2 linked regions of the Astyanax mexicanus genome follow. The protein of the gene in region 2 purifies or fractionates together with the protein of the main gene of each other region. This does not show direct contact. Links are inferred from orthologs where the notes say so. Each region holds a gene or a part of one and is shown on either strand. Other genes may lie near its edges. The genes, in order: faslg and casp10.

The links.
Region 1: the proteins of casp10 (region 2) and faslg purify together in Homo sapiens (co-immunoprecipitation; 3 studies listed by BioGRID and IntAct, with this or other methods). This does not show direct contact. The link is inferred for Astyanax mexicanus from reciprocal best matches to the Homo sapiens genes CASP10 and FASLG.

Annotation. Positions count from the first base shown.
Region 1 is NC_064408.1:62,930,727-62,934,655, reverse strand, and holds the start of faslg (tumor necrosis factor ligand superfamily member 6), read right to left. Parts: upstream 2,263-3,929; 5' UTR 1,336-2,262; coding exon 1,036-1,335; intron 260-1,035; coding exon 214-259; intron 107-213; coding exon 50-106; intron 1-49. UniProt on the Homo sapiens protein: Cytokine that binds to TNFRSF6/FAS, a receptor that transduces the apoptotic signal into cells. Involved in cytotoxic T-cell-mediated apoptosis, natural killer cell-mediated apoptosis and in T-cell development.
Region 2 is NC_064418.1:32,518,796-32,522,724, forward strand, and holds the start of casp10 (caspase-8), read right to left. Parts: upstream 2,329-3,929; 5' UTR 2,105-2,328; coding exon 2,093-2,104; intron 1-2,092. UniProt on the Homo sapiens protein: Involved in the activation cascade of caspases responsible for apoptosis execution. Recruited to both Fas- and TNFR-1 receptors in a FADD dependent manner. May participate in the granzyme B apoptotic pathways.

The sequences.
Region 1 (3,929 bases), on a different chromosome or scaffold from region 2:
AGGAGTTATTTCACACTAGAACCCTTTAGAAAAAAGAAATGGTCTTTACCCATCAGATGTGCAGCTTCAATATGATTGGCCTTTTCATTTGCTTCTACTTGGTTTCCTGAAAACAAGTCAAAAGGTAAGAAGAAGGTTAGTTCTCATGTTTGTGTTTGATGAAGTGCAATAAGCACAAGCAGGCCACAGGTAATAACAGCCTGAGAAACTTACCAACCAGCTTCTGCGGTGCCATGCTTTCAGTTGGTTTGTTCATTTCCTGTCATGAAAGAAATAGAAATACAGTATGAGGGGTGTTAAATTCTGCATATGCATCAGATTTTTATACTGGTGCTTGTAAACAATGTACAGAAACTTCTTAATGTGTAAATGAGGATGAATTAGAGTGTAGAGAGACCATCTTTGTGCCCTTTATGCTCAGCTTTCACTTCTTAAGAAGAAGGTGAGATGTATGTCTGACTGCGCTCTGGTTTGAGTAGAGGATATCCTGTACTGATGGACTGGTGACCACAAACCTTTATCTTTTTTTAGACGATTCCGGTCCGAGTGTGCTCAAGTAAATGTCAAAATGCAGAGAAAATGCTCTAATGCACTAAGCTTTAGAAAAAACTAGAAAATCTAGAAATTAATACATTGAACTTAAATGACAAGGACCTGTGTGGGGGGCAGCACTTCAATTGCTCATGGTTTTTAGTGGCCACTATTTTTTTGTAGTTAAATAATTTAGAACTTTAAATAATTTATAATTTAATATAAGTTAATTCCAGATCAAACTAACAAACAAACAAACACATAATACATAATCAAACATCATACACTTAAACAGGGGAGGGGGGCTCTTTCTAAAAGGCAATGGTCATACATAACCATCAATTTAAAGAACCCACTGAATGCTACATTTATTAAATGCTGAACTGATTCAAAGTTTCTTCTATACAAAGAAGAACTTATTCTTTGTGATTCTTCATAGGCATCAAAATCAGCTATTTATTGTCACTTTATGAAACTCTTCTTGACAAAAGTGAAGCTTCTCACCTTCTTGAGCTTTATCACCTCCATTTCGAGTTTCCTAATTTGGTAGGCTCCCAGTCCCAGTGCAGCAAAGATCACCACCAGCACCATAACCAGGAGGGTTCCTGCAGCAGAGGTCAGTCCTCCACAGCTCCTCCTCTTGGTCTGGGCACGAGCAGGGGGAAAGGTCCAGCAGGGAACCAGGGTCGGATCTGTCCTTGCAGCAGCCATCTGGGGATGATGATGATGATGCTGCTGATGAAGGCCTCCTGCAGCATCCACTGTGAACACTGGTGGATACTGGTACCTTAGGTTACCATTCATGCTTACAGCTCTCAGTCTGTCCAAGGGTGAGTGTGTGTATAAAAAGAGTTACAGAGCTACAAATTTTTAAAAGACTTCTTATGTGGTCGACACTTCATATGTGGCCCTCCCACAACCTACCTCTCTCTCTTTCTCTCAGCATGCATATGCTGATGAGATGGGTTCTGATGACATCACGGACAGGAAAACTTTTTGCCTGCTTACACAATGCACTCAGAGTACATGCATTACAGTTAGTCATGTACAGTGGTGTGAAAAAGTATTGGCCCCCAACAGATTTCTTTTGTTGTTCGCTTTTTTGTCATACTGATATTTTTCAAAATTTTAACAAACAAACTTTAATACCAGATAAAGATAAAAAGCACATTTTAAATGATAGTTTTATTTATCAAAGGAAAAAAAATTCAAACCAATCTAGCCCTGTGTAAAAAAAAAGTGTTTGCCCCTGAACCAAAACACTTGGCAACTACAAAGGTAATCAAGCTTTACCAAAAACTGCCAATGAGTCTTTTGGTGAATTTTGGCCAACTCTCCTCTACAGAATTGTTTTAATTCTGCCACATTGAAGGGATTTCGAGCATGAATGTCCTGTTTAAGATCATTCACAGCATTTCAATCAGACTTAGGCTAGGCTCCAAAACCTTCGTTTTTTTAAGCCATTCAGAGGTGGACTTGTGGACTTGGACTTGTTTGTGTGCTTTGGATCCGTGTCCTGCTGCAAAAGTCTCAGGATTGTCTGGTAAACAGCAGAATTCCTGGTTTAATCTTTTACAGCATGTTGTCCAGGCCCTTAAGCAGAAAAGCAGTCCCAGACCATCACACTACCAACTTCAGATCTGCATAATGTGTTAATTTTTGAGATCTTTTAGCTGCTTTTAGCGGACCAGCTCTTTTCTACTTAATAGTAATGGTCAAAGCCAGATCTGTACCAGGTAAAAGTTTCAAAGGTGAGACCTTATTAAAAATATCTACAGTAGTAATTTCTGTAAAAAAACTGCTGTCTTTTCACTCTAAGAGCAGGACAAGATAAAATATGCTTGATTGATAAAACATTGCCACAGTGATCACACAGGGGAGGTTCATCTCTAATTAGTAAAAAAAACATGGGTGAGCCTAGAATGTCCAATCCTACACCTTGTATAAACAACTTGATCATGTCTACAAGAAAATAATTGAGTTACAGTTTGTTTTACAGAAGTGCAGATTTCATGCAGCTTATTGTCATCGCAGCTGTCCCATTCAGCTTGCCATTTATCAATAATATAGGACGAAAGTACAGGTTTGATATCAGAGACAGGGATCTGGCACTCAGAGATGTTTTCATTCAAAGCTCCTTTAGCAGCACTATCTGCCTTTTCGTTACCACTCAGGCCCATGTGACCAGTTTTTCAAGTATTTTAACAATCAGGGGGTGGTCAGTCTTTAAAAATTCCAAAGCCTGAAGGCATGATCTAGAGTCTGTGCAAATCAGGGGCTTGTGTTGGTGGTGTTGTTCGATGTATTCAAGACTTAAAAGCAAGGCTTGGGCTTCAGCCCAAAAAAAAATAGAGCTAAGTTTGGGATGCGTATTCCACAATGATTGGAAGAGACTACCATTGTTGAGGACACACAAGTATCAGTTTTTGAGCCATCAGTATAGATTGGAATGTACGATGAAAAGCGTTGTCTAACATCAAGAAAGCAACTTTGGTACTCGTTTGGATGTGTACTTGATTTTGTTTTGTGACTCAGGTCCTGCACGATTATAGGTTGCCTCAGGGTCCAAGGGGGAATAGAACAAAGGTGAGTAGATGTTAATCCATCTAGATCAACATTCAAATCATCAAGAAAAGGTTTGATTCTCAGTCCAAAGGGTCTGATAGTCCTGGGTCTAGCCTCATAAAAATTCAGATACTGCGGTTGAAAGACAGTGGAGTAGGCAGGGTTATCTCTGTTTCCCTTGATTTTAACTGCATATTGTAGAGCAAGTTTCAAACGTCGTAGTTGAAGGGATGGTTCTCCAGCTTCCACATAAAGACTCTGCACTGGTGAGGTTCTAAAGGCCCCTAAGGCCAGTCTTAAACCTTGGTGATGAATAGTATCCAACATCTGAGTGTAAGATTTTCTTGCCGATCCATAGACAAAACACCCATAGTCCAAACGGGATCGCACAAGTGTTCTATACAAGCGTAGCAGAACAGTCCTCTCTGCCCTCCATTTCGTCTTTGTCAGCACTTTTAAAATGTCCAGAGTTTTAAAACATCTCTTCTTAAGATTCTTCATATGTGGAATAAAAGATAATTTATTATCAAATGTAAGACCAAGGAATTTAACCTCTTTCACAACTTGGATTGCTGCACCATCCATATATAACAATGGCTCATGGTGTAAAGTTCGCAGTTGACAGAAGTGAGTGCAAACAGTTTTGGGTTTAGAAAACTTGAAGCCATTTTTGAAAGACCAAGTGCTGATCTTAGTGCTGATGAGATTTGGACTGATTTCCTTTGCAATGCTGTTGATTTTGACACTGAAGAGGGTGACAGAGAGGATACTCCCTTGAGGGACTCCTTGTTCGTGTAGATGCTGTGTTGACAAAGTTGTGCCTAATTGAACTT
Region 2 (3,929 bases):
CACGGTTGTAGTATAGAAAACGGGCCAAAGAGTCTAACAACTCCAAAGAAACGAAAAAATGGACAGCAAATGCAGAAAATTTCAGGCATGTTGGGAAAATTACTATTTTTTTACTAGTATAATATTAAGAGACATTATGAACCAGAACATTAATTTGAAAAATCTTAGTTTACACAACACTGTCTAAGACAGATAAAGATAGTAACTCAAGTAAAATGGTGTGTAAATGATAGTAATTAAGGAAATGTTTTATTATAAGTAGTATATTTCATTATTTGTTTTATTGATTTTTGAGTCTGTGGTCCATGACTGCACATATATTTCTCCTTCTGGCCCACAACAAAAAAAAATTGTACACCCCTGATCTACTGCAACCAAAAAAATATATGTTTATTCAGTGTTCTTTGCTATCAGGCCTTCTGCTCATCGTAGTTTCCTAATCAGCCATCAAAACCAGTGAAAGGCAATGGGACCTATCCAATTGAGGATTTTGCAGGAATGTATAGTTCACAGCTGTACAGTTTGTTAGTTTTATAACTCAAAAGTAGCAGTTTACACGTTTGTTTTGGACTTGACTAACAGGCTATTTGGGCATATTTGTGCTGAATGTTGACTGAATTAGTAACATACACGGTCAGTCAAAAGTTTTAGAACAGCCCTATTTTTAGTTAGTCACCTCTCAGGCCTTTAAGTCTTCTCTTCACTACTAAAACTGAGATTTATGTCGAATGTTAAGCTGCCATGTGGATCAGCCAGGCCGCTGGATGGGTAGCAGTGGCGCCATCCAGTGTTTTCCTAGGCAAAACCGCCACAGAGCAAAACTATGTAGCAGTATAGACTGTAATTGTCACAGTCCTGTCTGTGAAATATAACCAAGTAAAACCAGGTTGACCTTAATTAGGACAGGATTTGAGCTTCTCATTGATTAAACAACATGCTACGTCTATTTAATAATTATTCAAAGGTGTGAAATATATTCACATTCATTACTTAGGTAGAATTATACATACTAGGGTTTAAATATACTTATGTAGAAGGTGAAGTAGCAACTCAAGCCTTTTACTTAAGTACAAGTGTAAAAGTACTGGTTTTAAAACTACTTAGAATAAGTATAAAAGTAAAAGTAATTCAAGGAAAAAATGCCATTAAAGACAACAATTAGGCCATGCCACAGGAGCCTATAGTGCACTACCCCCTTCCCAAAACACATTTTACTAAAAACCATAATGACTACAATGTTATACTAAAATGTTAATGTCGAAAATCTGGATTACTGCATATATACCCATTGAAAATGAACCCAATGCAAATATTAAAGAAACTTAGTTGGAACATTTCACTTGAGTTCTCTTGAGTCTCTGCCACAATATATGGATCACATGTAAACCAATAGGGAGTTGTATATATTTATACTTCTCATTCAACCACAATCAAATTCAATCTATCCAGATGGAGAGATTTATCTAAATAGAATTTTATTGAAACCAATAAAAAACAGCTGAACTGAAATAAGAGTAAAGAAGGCTATTTTTTTAATGTAAGGTGTATAAAGTACAGATAATTGTGGGAAAATGCATAGAGTATAAAGTACAGATAATTGTGTGAAAATATAAAAACTAGAAAGAAATGATAATTGTGTGACAATGTAAGGAGTAGAAATTAAAGATAATTGTTTGAAAATGTAAAGAGTAAAAAAGTACAGATAATTGTTTGAAAATGTAAGGATTATAAAATACACATAATTGTGTGAAAATTTATATTGAAGTAAAACGTCGTCTGAAAAGTATTACTTTAGTAAAGTAAAGATGACCAAACTTTCTACCTAAGCAAGGTAAAGAGGGATTTGTTCTTTATTATTCGACACTTCCGGCAGAATCTCTCATTTCTTCACTTAAGGAAGTAAGTTAACCTAAATTTCCTAGAACTGTAGGGTTCAGCCCGGGTGTGGTAGGTTAGCTAGTGTATCTTGTGACACGGACAGAGTCTCTTTCACGTCTGTATATAACAAATATATCTTCTGCCTCGCTCCCCAACAGACTACACCATTAAATATATAAAGTTTAACTTTTAGCCGACGAGTAAAACGACTTACCTGTTCCTCCATGCTGTGAGGAGTCCTGTGGGAACACCTTCAGCTGAAAACAGGAGAAAATTCCCTGAGAGGGTAATGGTTCATATTCAACCTAACAGCGAGAATAATCAGCTAAAATACGCTGACTGGAATGGCAATATTTCGACTGAACAAAAAAAGACGTTTTCTTGCGCACAGAAAGTTTTTCATGTCAGAGAGTAAAACCGAAACTGTGCAGGGAAGGTGGGGAGAGGGTGGAGTTAAACTTAAACACGCAATCATAGAACTTCTAGAGAGGAGAATTCCCATTTTAAAGATATTTTCTTGGAGTCCAAAATGAATAGATTCATATGGAGCATTTGAGCAGTTTATAAATGTTTGATAATTTCTATACTGAAAATTGCACCCATTTCCCACAGCACAATATCACATGGTTCAGTGGCAAATATATATTTTTTAAGTTTAAAAACTCCAGTTATAAACCATTTAAAATGTTCTGGCTGTAATTCCAGCATCAGCTGAGTTCACCAACCAGGCAGCACTAGAGGTGAGTATCCCAGCTCCAGACAGTAAAAATCCAGACCAGGGTTTTGTACCAACTGCCTGACTAGAGGTGGGTAACCCAGGTCCAGGGCCGCCCATGCAGTTGGTACAAAACCTTGGACTGGATTTTTACCTTCTGGACCTGGATTACCCACCTCTAGTCAGCACACAGAAGGATTAGCCTAAAGGTAGCACATTGACTGCCTAAAACCTGTTAAATATAAAGGTATGTTTTCTTTGCTTGTTTTAGCAACATTCTACATATCCTACTTTCCAAAAATATATCCAAAGAATATCCATGTCAAATGGTTATAGTTACTATTTTTAATTTAAGTTTTTAGGCGTTTAGCTCCATTCACTTCACCTCACCACATTTTGAACTCCCTCTAGTGTTTGAACAGTGATTTTCTCATATATATACAGGGATATAGGATACTTTCCCATTAGTATCTGTCTGCAGAGCCGCGGATATACGCCAGCAGATTCACGCCAGCAGTTTTAAGACAGTGGTAGCGCATTTTTTATTGTGCTGTCAGATGCTTAAAAGTACTTCAATGAATTACATGACTTGTGATTAATTAATCTAAATGAATCATATTTAATCACATTCGTCATCAACATGTTTTGAACTGTCCAATTCACCAGAATTTTAGCTGAGGAGCAAATGAATGAATAAATTTTTTCAATAGAGCTCCCTGTACTGAACATCAGTCAGAGGCTGTAAATACTGCGTATCTTACAGCATTAAACCAATGTCTCATAGCTGCAGCTTTAAGCTTTATTCACCTAAAATTACAAAAAAATTACAGAAGACACTCACACAAGCCTGAGGTTATTTTCAAATACTAACAGAATTTAGATATTTGACCATATTTTTTCAAACATATACCTAGTAAATAAAAAAATATTGTTTCATCTATATTTTCTGAGCTTTGGCTGTTATAATGAAACTAAAATTTGGTTTCCAGTGTTGTGGTTTCTCCACATTCAAAAAGTTACCGGTACACATTGGTACACTCCAGTCATTATTGTTGATTTGGCCATAGACCATATATAAAACCTAAATGTTGCTTGTTGTTAGGCTTGTTGATAGTACACCAAGAATCTTGAGTTCAATTACTTTAACCAAATGATCTGCGTAAGGTGCTCATGCATGTAAACAGATAAAAAAAGCACCCTTTACCTAATTTGTTACAAACTTCAGTGAATTTGTGTAAAACTATGTGAAAATAGTAAACATTTATCACAAAAATTAAGATCCTCAGGGCCTCCTTTATTGAAATGTTGTAAACTATTAGTTCCTATCTGAAATGGT